2 linked regions of the Tribolium castaneum genome follow. The protein of the gene in region 1 binds, or shares a complex with, the protein of each later gene. Links are inferred from orthologs where the notes say so. Each region holds a gene or a part of one and is shown on either strand. Other genes may lie near its edges.

Region 1 (7,064 bases):
TGGATCACAGCGAACACAAAGTTGGGCTCAAGAAACCAATGAATTAGTGAATTTTGTGAATTTTAGGTTAGAATTTTTCTATTGATAAAATCATGAAATACTTCGATAAATCAACAAAACTACAATTCAGATTAACAACTGTTAATACACTTAAAGATAAATTATGCCAAAAGATAGGCTTTTCAATGTCTTTGTAATAATTTTCCAATAAAGAAAGTGAACCAAACAGTCATTCGTTATTCGCGTTTTTCTCGTCATCTCTAATTTGTCAACATTCGTATCTTCCACCAAAGATACAATAGTCATTCCGCATTGGCAATGTAATAATTATGAAGCCTCAAAATTCGTACAACGCTCAAAATATCCGAATAAACATTTTCCCGCCATTTATGGTTACTGTTTTCGACCTAGCTCAGTGGCGCCCCCAACGGTAACTTTACTTCCGAATAATAAAAATAAATTATTTTTGAAACGGTTTCCTAGGAAATAATTCCCAGTGTTGGCACATCTACACATTGTGATTTTTTTGATGAATTTTAATGCTAAAGTCTGATAGAAAATTTGAAAATAATTATTCATCGTTTTGTTAGAGAACGACTACCTTGTGTGAAGCATAAAAACATTAAAAAATAACGAAAACTAAAAAAGTTAACACAATAAGTTTGTAGCTTCAGATTTTTTAAAAATGACTTTAGGAATTTTTTCAACATTTTTACAAGTTGCATCGTTTAAAAGTTAGAGGGCTCCAATTTCAAAAATTATTTTCGATTTTATTTAATAACTTTTTAATGGAATAATTTAATGATATTTCATTTAGAAGTTACTAATAAAGAACAAAAATAATTTTTTAACTTTGGCGCCTTCTAACTTTTAAACGGTGACACTTGGTATAGAGGTAAATTGGGTTAAATCGTTTTACTTTGACTTGGAGAATATCTGGTTCCGTTTTGTCCCCATCTTTTCGTTACACCATGTATAAACGAAACGTCAAACCCGTTTTTTTATTTAAAACTTCTTAAGGAAGTTGGTTCGTCGTCAAATTTTATTACAATCAAAAGTGATAATATTGGTTCACCCTTTATTACTATGTTGTTTTTTTTAGGGGTGGCAACGCACCATCTTACGTCTACCGTCTCCTCTCCGAATTGTACCACCCTGACGACTACGAACTTTGAAACCAATTAAATAAAACCATAAATTTTATCAAAACTTTTATTTTTCACCATTACTTTACAAAAATTACGCTTATATTGGCTTAATCTTAAAATGCATTCCAATCAAAGAAAACACCAAACACTTTAAATCCTGCACCAAATAATAAAAGCAGCGCAGTCCTTCGGGATCCTTCGACTGACTCACATCGACCAAAGACCCAGTTTTCGAGGTAGTAAACGAAATGTGTTCATCATTGATCACAATCTCAAGCTCCTGACGACCGATTCTATCCGGTGGCGGCCACAACGAATCGTCTTCTTGCATTATCTCCGAATCGATAATAATCCTCTTGAGCTCCTCCATCACGCACTGATGCACATAAACCTCCTTACGGATCATTGTGTCGTTCTTGTAGTTGGAATTATTGGCGTAACGCAATTTACCATCGGGACGGAACTCAAACTCGAGAAACTCATGCCCAAATTTACCTTTGTGGCCCACGTAGTAACGTATGTAAAAATCGGCAGACATTCTAACGGAATTTAGGGAAGCCGCTTGGAACGTTTGTGGGGTTAGGGATCACTTCTGTCAAATTTGTGACAGCGTTAGTGTTGCCAACACAACAGACAAAATCACCAGGACGGCGCGCTGAAAATTTAATTTGGGAAGTAAAAACGCGTCCAGATCTAGAAAAATTCACGTCTAGAATTTGTCATCAACAGAAAATAAAATGACAAAACTGTATTAGCTGTTTCAGAACTATAAAAACGCCAACGTCGCACTTTACCGAATTATTTTTTTAAATAAGTTTCATAAAATTGTAAAATAGTTATTAATGCATAGATCTCTCATTAAAAGTATAAATTGCATTAGCTGCTATTTTTTTTTGAAGTGCATGAATAATTTATAATAGCGAATTTTGAGAGAAAATGCGATCTTGACGTTTTTATAGTTTTGAAACAGCTAATACATCTTAGAAACAGAAGGCAAAATCGGACAAATCTAGAAACATACACAAGCAGAATCGGACAAAACTAGAAACATACATAACAGAACAGTATTGACCTAAAAAAAATACATTATCAGCAACGTATTTCACGTATTTGTTTAGAAAAATACTTCATTAGAAACGTACAACGCAGAACCGTACCAAACAGAAAAGTGGTGGGGGGAATCAAACTCAGAATTAGAAGCTTGCTCAACAGAGGGTGCTGTTATAGGTGGACATGGCTTCATAGATATAGCCATATTTGTTGACTTTGAGGGTTACAACATTTGCCACCATGTTCATGCGTTGCGTGTGCTTGATTCTGATTGGATGTTATTGTTTGGGTTCAACCATGGTTACTGGTTAGTAGAGACATGGTAGTTAGTAGATCTGGATAAACAATACACACTAATGCTTTTAGGGTCTACATTAGAAACTTTTCGACTTCTGATTTTGTATACAATCCAAATCGACCATTCTGAGTTCAACTAAATTAGTATTTTTAAACTGGCTGATTTTCCGGAACTACGAGAAATTATCATATGTCAATTTTTTTTATATAAATTTTGATTTGCAGGGGTTCATTTGAAATATCACAGCTCGTGAACCCTTTATAATAAGTGAATAATTCTTTTTGCATTTGATAGCCAAAGGTTTGAAAGATCTTCTAAAATCTTCTGTATTGTCAACCGTAAAACTGCCTTACTTTACATAATTCACAAAATTATAATGAAACATAATTAAATATTATTGTTTTACTGCTTATTTGATAATGAACCAGCTAAAAATTAAATAAGTTTGACAATTGTTGACCATTTTGCAAGTTCTACTTGATTAACTATGAAAACTGCGAAGTAGTGATTTAACTTCAAACTTGGCGCCAATTTTTTGTAGTTCCGAAAGCTCAGCCATTTTGAAAAAAAATAAGTTGAATTCAGAATAGTCGATTTAGATCGTGTACAAAATTTTAAAGCTCTAGCTATATTACAAGTTAAAAGTTACTAATGTAGGCCCTAACAGAATCACCGTGTATAACTCAGGTATCAATTTACTTACAAACACTAAAACATGGAATTTAATCAGAGTTGGCGACACTGGACGCTTTTATTTTACGAAATAAGATTAATTTAAGATTATGTTACAACTAATTATTTAGTATTGAATCACCACGTACAAAAATAAGGTAATTTAAATATTTTCAAGGACATTTGATGTTTAAAAAAAAGGCGCCAAATTCAAACAACGTGTTCAAGGACCCCTTGTCGTATTAATTCCTCGCATTCGCTTCTCGGTAAGTAATGACGACTGTTTTCCTTCAATAACAACACCGAACCATCGTTCAATTCAAACTGTCCATAATCCGTTAGACACCTGACCTCAATATACAAAGACTTTGGCGGTTTTAAATCCACAGCTAAATTAATCCCTTCATCACCAATTGATCGCATATATTGTACTAAATTGCTGGAATATTTCGAAAACCATTCAATTTCCGATTGACTTAAATTCGATTTAACATCTGGCGGTAAAATACTGCCGAATTGCCAGCGCATGTTTCTGAGACATTTTAACCGATTGTAGTGATAAGCCAGAATGCATCGAATGTTCCGTTTGATAGCCGCATGCCGTATTTTGACTGTAGGTAAATAAGAGGCGTGATTCATAACCCGACTATCTTCAGAAATTTGACTGAAAAAAAAAACGCTGAAGTATTGGTTTCGAGGATCAAGTGTGTAAACTTACGCATCTTCTTGGTTTTGAGTAATGAGTTGCTTGACTTCAGTGTTGATTTCATTGAGAAGATCAGTCTGAAAAAAAATTGTAAAATATTGAGTGAGGAACAATTTGGTAATTTTTACGTTGTAAGGCGGTAAAGCGTCCCGGTTTCGAGATAATTCTTTGATCAAAACGTGGGCTTTCTCACAAAACATTTCGATTTAAAATTTTGTCTAAATAGTTTTCTAACCTAAAAGCCCGCCAAATGACAGTAAAGGTGCATTTATAATGACAGGCCACAACTAAAGGCGGGTTTACACGAATCACGCGTATCCTTGTGTGATGTCACATCTACGGTAAGTTATGCTGCCCTACTACGCAAAAATTTCGTCACTACTTTTACGTATTTTTTGAGTTATTTCATGTTTCTTAAATTTTCTATGGTATCTTTATTTCATATAATTGAAGTATGAAATTTTGAACTTTAATAAACGATTTATTTGCAAAAATGATATTGGCACGTTATTTTATGCATATCTTTTTAGAGTGCTGTTTTTCAATATACGACAATTGAAATACAAATTTTCTTGAAGTTTCGAAGCAAAAAAGTCGTAACTACAAAAAACATTTTTTGAAGATAATTAAACAATTGATGGCAAAATATTCGTATAATAAATTAACGAAGAAGCAATCTAGATGGACAGTCAATGCTCTTACAAAGTGGCTAATAAGTATGGCTACAGCTAATTTTTTTATTAAAATGTGTTCTTTTACAGACAAAAGTGTTATTTAATAACCATTATTAACTTTAACTTATTTTTTGGTCAAAGTTCAGGCGGAAACGAGCTAACGTTAGATAAAGACAACATTTCCAAAGCAGAGAAAATTTTATTAGTTAGATATTTTTTTAATGAGATAAGCATGTGTTACATCAAGAACTAAAAAAATAAATTTGACCCTTCTTGCTGTGTAAAAAAAGTTAGCCTTGTATCCCCAGAAACAAAATTAATGTAAATGAAAATTTTATAGACATCTAAAACGATAGAATTTAAACAGTACTTTTAAGCAAATACAAGATTTCAATTAATTATTATTTAATATTTAACTGTATCCATACTTTTTAGCAACCAAGTATAAGAGTAATATTATAATATCTAATAATAACAATGAATACTTAACTAAATAGACATTTTTAATTTTATTTTTGGGGCAAATTGTTCCAAAAATTATGCTATTAAGAAATGAAATGGGACAACTAAATATTTTTTTTATCACTTTTGGAAAATTTTGTTAATTTTTTTAGTTCGATGGTAATATTTCATGACGGGTCTTGCACAATGCAGTCTTGTCAACTGAAAATTGTAGTTGAAAAAATAGGCCTTAGTACCAAATGACTTTATTAATTTAATTTTACTACTTACATGTTTCTAAAGGAATAAAATCACAGATATATTGATTATTGTTTAACAGATAGTAGTAACTATGACTTAACCCTATAAAAATCTTGAATAAAACACTTCAATATGAAAACAATCATCCAAAGTTATCACAAAAAATATTCTTTACAAGAGATGATACAATATCAGGAATTAAAATAAGAAACATGTTACGCCTGCTGCATACAAATATTTCTGTATAAATATAAAGTACTTTATAAAAAAGAATACATCAATGCGCAGTAGTAGCTATTAACACATTTAGTATATACAGGGTGATGAGCGTGATTTAAACACGCTACAACAAAACCTGTATGTTCCACCAAACAAGGAGGAGAAAAATGCTTCATTATGATACAACATCAATTTCTCTAGGCGACGCCAAAGCAGGTGGCACCACCTGTTGGATGATATTATGGGAAGGTGAGTTTCCTAAAGGTTGGCGCATCTTTATTTCGGCGTTTTCCTTCGCTTCCAGCGTCGCCTGCTTGATGGCTTCTTTGTATGGCCCCCTTTTTTTCTTATTGTAACGTATCTGTGATGATAATAATAATAATACTTAAGTTGGTGTTACATTTTATAGACAATTTATTGTCATTTTTTTAATCTGAATTTTAATGAGACTCACCTTAAAATTTTCTAAATATGGACTTAACTGATCGCACTGCATTAGTGACGACGTTGAGGAACCGTACCATGCGACATGCGCTTGGGGCCCTTGGCCTCCACAGTTCGTGATGGTGAGCACTTTGCCTGGCCACCAAGGAAAGCCGTGGATTTTGCCCCAGACGACATCGCCGACCAACATACGGCCTCCTGGAAAAAGTAAGCTTTTACTACAAGTAAAAGCATCTTGTGCGGTTATTTGCTTTTTAACGTCGACGTTTTAATCATTTTCTTTATAAAACAAAATGTAAAGTCATTGTCACTGTCAAAGATACAGAAATAAATCAAATGGGAAGTCAAAGAAAAAAATTATTTTGTCCTATACAGGGGTGTTCCATTTTTACACGTCAGCCTTTAACATGTTTTTTAATGGCACCACTTGTATATTTTTACATATTTCAATTTGCACTTTTTTCGGCTTTATAAATCAGTTTAGTTTTTGCAATTTGATTTAACCGTTCAGTAGTTATTTAATTTTTTCTACAATTTTGTGCGTGTGCAGGCACATTATTAAGAAAATTGCAGTGCACTCGACAACTGTCGAGGCTACCTTTCAGCAATAAGACTGTCCATTTGTATTGTAGCATTACCATGCAGTGACATATTCATTTTAAAGGACCATAACTTAATTTTTTCAAATAGCACCCCCTGTATTTTAATACTGAGTTAATACTCTGAATAATTTCAGCATCTCATTCTACATCTTTTTTACCTGTTAAGTTTTTTGGTTTTTTCAAAAGTTGACAGTTTGGGAGAAACTCGGTTTTTCTGAAAAATATTTATATACAAGTATACAGGGGGTGCCATAAAAAAAACTATGATAATGGCTGCACCGTAAAAATGAAGGATCCTGTATAGGGCAAAATAATTTTAGAACGTGCATTTTGACTTCCTGCCCATTTGCAGTGTTATTTGATTCATTTCGATATCTTTAAAAGTGTAGTGCCCATATCAATGACTCACCCTGTGTGTACTTTTTTCATTGTGAATTTACTTCAAAATTGTTGATGCTAACCAATACGTCCATCACGTTTTAAAAGTAACACACTAAATTTAAATGATGGCGGATGGACAAGAAAAATTTACAACTTCGCGAATGCTTA
Region 2 (8,689 bases), about 14 Mb from region 1:
TATTCCGGGTTTGGTACTTGCATGGGCGGCTTGAGGGTAAAAGAGGACTTAACGCGCGACCATGTCAAAGCTTTGGCCGTTTTAACGACTTATAAGCACGCCTGTATGGGGGTGAGGCTAGCTGGGGGCCATGGGGGGGTTAAAATCAACCCTGGGAGGTACAAGCCGATCGAGTTACAAAGAATTACGAAGAAATATGCGGCGGAATTGTACAGGAAGGGATTTTGTGGTAAAAATTCAAACTGGGGTTATTTATTTTTTAATATTGGCACACTAGACGGACAAACGGACATCATTGAGCCTGATATCAACGTTGGCGGACGCGAAATGGCGTGGATCGCCGCCATCTTCCCCAAGGATTATGGTGGGTTTGTTTTATTTTAGTTTTTGTTAATTTAATTTCGATTTATTTATTTTTCTGTTTATTTAGAGAGAGTCATGGTGGCTGGCAAGCCTGTCGAGCTTGGGGGAATCCCCAACTACGAAAAAATGGCGAGTCAGGGGATTTTCTTCGCCTTGGATTACTTCCTAAACAACGACGCCATCTTGGAACGCATCGGCATGTCAAAAGGTGGCCTCCAGCACAAAACTTACATCATACAAGGCATTGGCAAGTTGGGCGGGGCCTTGGCCAAGTTTTTGGAAAATTGTGGAGCCACCTGTGTTGGAATTAAAGAACAAGACGCTTTTATTTACGACATGGAGGGTATAAACATCCAGGTTTGGCAAAATTTTGCCCAAAATTTTAACCCTTTTTAGAGCGTTTTAGACTATTTTAAAGCCAATAAAACCATCCTGAACTACACTAACGCAAAGCCGGTGTCAAACGATGACATTTTTAAAGAACAGTGCGATATTTTGATTCTTGCCGCGGAACAAAAAACCCTAAATTGCCACATTGCGGATAAAATCAAGGCTAAAGTGATTATCGAAGGCGCAAATGGGGCTATCACACCCACGGCACACCGGATTTTAACCGGCCGTAAAAAACTAGTACTTCCTGATATTTATGTCTCTTCAGGGCACTCGATTGCGTCATATTTGGAGTATTTGTTTCATTTGAAACGAGATGGGTTGGAGTTTCCCGTTTTGAGAAACTTGTATTGGAACATTTTGGATTATTTTGATGCGGAAAAGGTTCAAGGACAGGTTGTTTCGACCGCGACGACACAAAAAATTCTCTGTTGTGACGTTAAGCCCGACATTTTGTCGTACGGGATCGAGCATGTAATGGCGGAAACGGGCAAAGTGGGGCTAAGTGGAAATTTTGGCTGTGTTTCTAATTTTTTATTGTAGGAATTGATCGAAATTGCAAAGGAATTCAGAATTGACTTGGATTTGAGGACAGCGGGGTACATTAAGGCCGTTCAGAGCATTCACAATTCGATTTACGAAGCGAAAAAATACTGATTTTGTGAATTCCAAAATGTATTAAAGTGTAATAAATGATAAATCTTCCCTGAGAACGCATTTTTGTAAACTTTAATGTAATAAATAATTATCTTAGATTTTTTGAGTGACGTTTGTTGTGTGAATGCGGCTTTAGAATCAAGTGACTTTTTTTAGTAACCAGTTTTTTTATTTGAAAAGCAACTGTGGTGCAAATAACTAACCCATTATCACAATAATTCACATAAAAGTGCACCTTAATGGGTTTTTAATTAAAAAAACAGGTATACATAACTAAATTAAAGGTGCGTTTAGAGCTCTACAACCCACTGGATTGCACCTATAATGTTGGGCTTTGAAAATTAAAATAAAAAATTGGCACTGTTCTTTAAGCGTTAATTAAAAAAAAATAATTTTATTATACGAAAACAAGGCAAAAGAAAAAATTCTAAATGATCAAAGATAAGCAAGTGGCACAGTTGGCGCCTCGAAGAATTGGCGCTTGCGCGCGTGACGTTTGAGGTTATGTGGCATAAACAAACCCCAATTTTTTCCAAATAAAACCCACAAAACGCCATGGACGACCAAACACGCACCCTCTGGTGCGGCAACCTATCGGAGAAAGTGACCGAAGAGCTCCTGTGGGAGTTATTTCTGCAAGTGGCCCCCTTAGAGCGCGTCCGAATCCCAACCGACAAAAGCGGCCGTAAAACAAACTACGGCTTCGTTACAGTCAAACACGAGTGCTCCGTTAGTTACGCCGTGCGCCTACTTGACGGTACCCCCCTTTTCGACCGCAGGATCATCATAAAACCGAAGGGCCAAAATGTTCAGCAGCCCAGCCCTGGAGACATGTACAGGAACCCCTACCAGCACAACAGGCCCCACCGGCAGACGCCCTACCAAAGGTACGACAATCATAATCACAACCACAACCATAGGCCCAACTGGAATAATAATAATCACAGGAACCGCAGGAGATATTGAAATAAAACCAATTTTTTATTAAAAAAATCGCAGTTTTTATTTAATTAATTGTTACAATTAGATGAGAAATACGATCCCGTCCGCCAACATCACTTGGTTGGCTTCAGTCATTTGGTCAATTGCGGCTCGGATTTCGCCTTGGCTGAAGGGGGCTATATTGTCAGTGTTGACGGAGTCGCGGATGCGGGCAAGACTTAGAGACTGCGCCCTGTTGTCCCGGAAAGCCCTGTCGAGACTTGACCGAAACTGAGTCAGCCTCTCACTCGTGATCATGGCAGGCGTTGAGTCAATTTCAATTGTTTCAGTCTCCATTTCTTCCTCACTTTCTTCCACTTCTTGCCGCGATTTCTTCGTTCTTTGTGATTCCTCCTCCATTTCTTCATTTTCGGACTCGGATTGTGCGTTTCTTCGCCGTTTTTTCTCCTTCTCGAGCACTTTTTTGAAATAGGCATATTGCACCAATTCAATTGCTGCGTAGGCGTCTTGTGCGGTAACAGTGCGAGACATGCGGGCTTTGGCATGCGCTGTGGCCAATCGGATCATGGTTTCAAGCGTACGGGGTGTCACAGGTTGTGTCTTCGAAAAAAAAATTATGCACGAGACGAAGACGAGTGACTATACCAAAAAAACCTATAAGTGGAACCTACCCGGGCGACGTGATTTTCAAGGACGTCCTCCGACCTGAGTTTGGAGTACTCATCGGCGATGATTTCCGACGCTTGTTCGGTTAGTGTCGGTTTGAGGATTTTCACGAAATGGATGTATTTACGCATGAAATCCACACTTAGGATTTTGTCGGTTTTTTTGCGACTTTCACCGTGTAGAAGTGCGTCGTATTTTTCATACATGGGGGTGACCTTGTCGTCGTCGACTTCCTCGGGGCGCATTGTACTCAACATGTCCACGCTTGAGCCCATTGGCAGGACTTCGCCATCTTGCTCACCCGGATTTCTAATATTTTTATCAAGTTCAAAATTAGTATTTATAATTTTTTATTAATTTTTTTTTACTTATTTATTTTTAATTAACTGTATCTGTCATTTTAAAGTCATATTATTTATTATTTATATTATTAACCCCCTTGGAGGTGGAAGTTCAATTTGCAGATTTAAATTAATTAACTATATTTTTTGGGTACGATTTTGTATCTCGTTCCGCCTCCTAACACACAGTCCTCCGTAGTCCGCACAAGCCTACTAAAAAAAAATACCTATATCGGTGCATCCTGACCACGTGATCCGAAATCATCAAATCATGATCCTCATCCACTGAATCCAACATCACGAACAGCAAATCAAACCGCGACAGGAGCGAGTCTTGCAACCCGATGTTTTCCATTGGCGTCTTGTACTGATCATACTACAAATCACCCAATCAAATCGCTGCTTTCGCAACCGACCAATCAAACCCCACCTTTCCGTAAACCGGATTGGCCGCCGCCAAAACCGAGCACCTGGCATTCAAACTTGCGTGAATCCCCGCCTTGGCAATAGTGACACGCCCCTGTTCCATGACCTCATGAATGGCCGTCCTGTCCATATCCGACATCTTGTCGAACTCATCAATGCACACGACGCCACGATCGGCCAAAACCATCGCACCGGCCTCTAACCGCCTCTCGCCGGTCTCCTGATCGGTTGTAACCGCTGCGGTTAGACCAACCCCCGACGATCCACGCCCAGTGGTGGGAATGGCCCGAGGGGCGGTGCATAACACGTATCTCCATGGCAACTGCCAATCACAATCAACGATTCACAAATCGAGTCGACTTACCGGAGGAGCTGTGACTTAGCAACGCTGGGATCGCCAATCAGTAACACGTTTATGTCCCCTCTTAGGCGCGTCCCATTGGGCAGGATCTTCTCGACTCCGCCCAAAAGGAGGCACAGGATCGCCTTCTTGATGTACTCGTGGCCGTGGATTGACGGCGCCAAAGACTTGGCTAATAATTCAAAGACGTTTTTGTTCGATTTGGCCAAGTTTTTACATTTGGCGACGTCTTCACGTGAAATGGAAGGATTTGCTTCTTTTGACAGTTGGGACACGTTACTTGCAATCACCACAGTGCTGCAAACATTAATCCCGTGGCAAAAAAATGACTAAATCACACTAATTGTTAACTATTTTTGAATGAAAATAAAGACAGTGGGGCACCAAGTCGGATCAAGTGTGTTGTTTACGTGACTATATTATTGTTTAAAACACATTTTCGTAATGTAATGATTGTTTTATGGCGTCCTGTCAATTCTAGTTCCAAAACCAAAATCACCAGCTTTTTAAAATTTGGCCCCAATTATTTTTTTATGTTTTTGCTTAATAATTATGGGAAAAATACCGGAAAATGCCGTTAGTGAAGCTCCCCTGTTTGTTGGGAAGGCACCGGTAGTTCCCCACCACTTGTATGCGGTCCCCGGGTTTGCACCTATCAACAAGGTCATTATCGCAGATTATATCAACCGAACGGGGCAACTGCCCCGCGGGGGCCTTTTCAGGCATCTCCTGAATGGAAATAGTTTGGTGGTCTTTATACACCGAAAGCCCAAATTCTGTCTCCAATAAATTGCCATCCTCGTCCTAAACCACTCAAATTAATTGATAAAAAATACAAAAAAGACACGACTGACTTTAGTGGGGTACACCGACGATGTGGGGAAGGCATCTAACGAAGTCAAATCAGTGTATTTCCTTTCCATTACTTTTTTCGTTACTGGACAAAAGTGGACACTCCGGACGACCTTGGGGTGCACCAACGAGCCTTAAAAACCAACCGGTAACGCAAGAAAGACGCAAACAAGTCCTACATTTCGTCACAATCCCCTCAACACAGACCAAATTCCCCAAAAACCTCGAAGTCAAACTCCTTGGAGTAACATGCTTATTGCCGAAGCTCCCCTCAAAGGCGATGAAAAACTCGTCGTTTTCCTTGGCATAGTCGTGCGCGACTGTGTAAACATACTCTTTGAGGGCTTTCTGAAACGCCGAATGCTCCTCAAAAGCGTTAGTGAGGAGGGCGGCAGCCCTGGCCGGGTTTTTGCGGCGCAAATCATTGACATTCACCACAAGCCGCAAACTGTGGTCCGCAACCATGTTTTTAACAAGTGTGGCGTACTTGCCTTGGTCCTCCTACGGGAATTTGGGGTTAAAACACGGGGGGAAGGCAACACCACCAATTCGTACCTCGTCATCGAGGAAGTCCAAGTACTCGTGCTGCATGTCGCGGAGGCGCTGGTCTAGCTCCTGGGGGTCCATAATGGGGCACTTAACACTGGAAATGCGGGTAATAACGGGCGAAAACACGGGAGGAGTTTTGGCGGGAAAAGAGCCACAGCGGTGTTGCCAAGTCGGGCCTGGGTGGCCAGATAGCTGGCACCATGAACATTACAATCGACCAGACAAATCATAATAAAAACATCAATAAGCTGTTACAGTGACTTGCATATCACATTTGCAGAACATCTCCTGACCGTTTTAATGTGTTTCTATTACAAATTAAAACTTAACTGCATTTAATTTCTACATTTTTTATTCCCTTATTCTCAGCAATTGTCTGGTCAACTGTCATGTGGGAACAGTGTCTAGCTGTTGACACCTTGTAGCAGCGTGTGAGCGTCGTGAGCGTGTTGTGCATCGATTAACAGGTAAGTCTTGATTGTCTTGATATTTATTAAATGTTATAAGTAAAATGTAATTCGTCTGACATTATGTTTATTTTCAACGATTGTGTCTAAAATTAAAGTAAATCAAATAACTGAATCCTGACCCACGACCACGTGGTTTTTATATTGTAATTGTTTTCGCGTCCAAAACATGGCAGTAATTACATAATAACTAGAATAATTATATTTATTATACTGTTATCACTAGGAAGTTGTAACACGTGTTGTACGGTAGGCAAAATTGCTTATCTGAATTTGTGTTTTTGTAAAGGTTTTTAAATATCGCAGAGAAAATGGCTGCTTAACGCTGACTCGTACTGTAAGTTGTTTCTATTGTTGTAATGTACAACTTTCACTTTCCTGTTAAATGTGCAACCCTCAATCCTTAACCGCTCGTGACGCCCCCCTTCTGGGAGCAGGTAGTTTTTCCTTCTTAAAAAGGACCGTCACAAAAATGAGGGAAGGAGACGCGATGTAGAGCTAAAAGTAAATTGTTGTAACGTTGTAAGTTGTTGGAAGTTTGTAGAGAATAAATCTGTTGAATTTTACACCGAGTATATTAATATTTCCCCTTTCTGAAGTATCACGAAATCGTGGATACAACACTATTCTTAGGTCCAAATCGCACAATAGGTATTTTTTTTATACTTGGAAGTAAGTGAATAATCTCATTTATCGGAAGAAAGGCATACCTATATTCAGAATACCAATTATTCATTAAACTCAACTAGTTTGTTAAAGTTAACTAATTGCCTTTCGCAGTTACTTTATAATAGCATACTTTACAGGCAAATAAGCTTGACCATTAATAAACTTACCTACTCATTCTATCAACAACACAATTTCTCTCAAAGTTAGTTGCATTCCAAAAAAAAATATATATATATATATATACATTACATTATCATTATTACATTATTATCATCGATTAAATTATAATGAAAACATGTCTTTACCACAATTGTTGTTATATTGTTTATTACCGAATCTTTGCTATAAAACTATTATACAATTTATTATATGCTCTTTGGTTAACTTGATAATATTTTTAATCATCTCTCTTAATTTCAATTATCGTTTCAATTTGCTTTATCTGACTATCTTTTCGAGTGATTCTCCTATATTCAAATAAAACTTTTTAGTGTATTCCAAATATGAATAAAATATTTCTTCCAAAGTAATATAATATTCTTTAATTTCTTGATCCGTTTTTGTATTTAATGTTATTATTAGGGATTTAATATTACGAACACTCAATAAAATCCATATTGTTTTATTTAAATTAACTATTTGGCGAAATATTTATAATATATTTTGTTATCAATTTTTTATAATATGATAATTCATTTTTAATCTTATCATAATTTATTATTTGGTATTCTATTTTATAGTTTTCTAAAATTTTCTTTAAATCTTTCTTAATATCGCGTAAATTCAGTGGGGGATAGCCACCCCCCACTGAAATTCCATATTGTATAAAGCATAAAAGATCATTTGTTATTATTATATTTTTCTTTTAAATAACGTAAACCATATATCGGTCAACCACGTACTCAAATTAATTTTATAGGAGTAGTTATTTTTATTTATAAAGTCCAACAGGTTTAATGGATTAGCATTAATTTTATAATTATGTATTGCCTTAAAAGATTATATTCGTTAACGTTAGTTTCCTATTTATCTAGCAATTCTTCTAATTTAAAATGATATTTCCTAACTTTTTTTTGCCTTATTGTTATTCAACATCATTATTAATTCTTTAAAATTTTTAATCATTTTGTATATATTTATACAAATTTGCTTTAGCATTTTTATAATCTATTTCTTCGTATGAGATTTCCTAGTCCTTTAAAAAGTTCTTAAAATCGCGTTATTTCTTCAATAAATCCCATGAATTGAAGCAAATTATTTGTGATTAATATTTTTCTTTTTCTGCAAAAACAACATATTTCCAAAAAAATACGACTATCAATTTTCTCTTAAAATCAACACCTACCTACGTCTTTACTTATAGCATTTGTTGATTTTTCATAACCCAATATTTCTGCTAAATCTTTACCTTTAAACAAAGGTTGATTATCATTGTCTAATATGAAAAATACGTCTTGATCATAAACTTTCAAGTAACAGTATTATCTATGTCAATAATTTAATTTTTAATTTTTCGCTTCTTCTTTCTTGGAAGATAAAATTCTTTCCATACGTTATTTGTCTTCATCATATAATTACATCTAATAGTTTTATTTATTTTATTTTTTATAATACGTAGGTCCCATATTGCCTCGCATATTGTACTAGATCCCTTTTATTACAAGTATTTATTTTTTTGACAATTAATTAAATAAACATTAAATTGATCACCTCCTCCCTATACCACACATATTTTTTTGAATCTCGAGGCTTATCACAAGTTTACCTCAAAAGGGACAGTGTGTTTTATCATGCACTGTTTATAGATAATTTCTTATGAAAAAAATGTAGTAAATTAAATGAATTGCTCACATAACGATGACCAAGAAGCACGACAAATGTTTCAGAAAAGGTTAAACGATATGAGAAGTATATATAATGTATGAAAATAACGTATTAACCTTGGCAAAACTAGATTTTCTTAAAATACACTTTCGTAATCTTGAAGTCTTTGATGAATAAATTTG

What was found.
Region 2: DNA replication complex GINS protein PSF1 (region 1) and Mcm3 share a complex: the UniProt entries of both Homo sapiens proteins name them as parts of the CMG helicase complex. The link is inferred for Tribolium castaneum from reciprocal best matches to the Homo sapiens genes GINS1 and MCM3.

Annotation. Positions count from the first base shown.
Region 1 is NC_087400.1:16,457,767-16,464,830, forward strand, and holds DNA replication complex GINS protein PSF1, read right to left. Parts: upstream 4,168-7,064; 5' UTR 4,075-4,167; coding exon 4,003-4,074; intron 3,952-4,002; coding exon 3,887-3,951; intron 3,833-3,886; coding exon 3,379-3,832; 3' UTR 3,229-3,378; downstream 1-3,228. Other genes in the region: eIF2Bbeta (translation initiation factor eIF2B subunit beta), read left to right, coding at 1,103-1,175; protein mago nashi, read right to left, coding at 1,246-1,686; PWWP domain-containing protein 2A, read right to left, coding at 5,645-5,830, 5,924-6,111. UniProt on the Homo sapiens protein: Required for correct functioning of the GINS complex, a complex that plays an essential role in the initiation of DNA replication, and progression of DNA replication forks.
Region 2 is NC_087400.1:2,690,115-2,698,803, forward strand, and holds Mcm3 (DNA replication licensing factor Mcm3), read right to left. Parts: upstream 5,755-8,689; 5' UTR 5,626-5,754; coding exon 5,554-5,625; intron 5,500-5,553; coding exon 5,178-5,499; intron 5,132-5,177; coding exon 5,001-5,131; intron 4,951-5,000; coding exon 4,712-4,950; intron 4,444-4,711; coding exon 4,150-4,443; intron 4,097-4,149; coding exon 3,790-4,096; intron 3,736-3,789; coding exon 3,587-3,735; intron 3,328-3,586; coding exon 3,024-3,327; intron 2,953-3,023; coding exon 2,434-2,952; 3' UTR 2,388-2,433; downstream 1-2,387. Other genes in the region: glutamate dehydrogenase, mitochondrial, read left to right, coding at 1-229, 278-364, 431-720, 760-1,248, 1,297-1,410; RNA-binding protein 7, read left to right, coding at 1,966-2,376. UniProt on the Homo sapiens protein: Acts as a component of the MCM2-7 complex (MCM complex) which is the replicative helicase essential for 'once per cell cycle' DNA replication initiation and elongation in eukaryotic cells.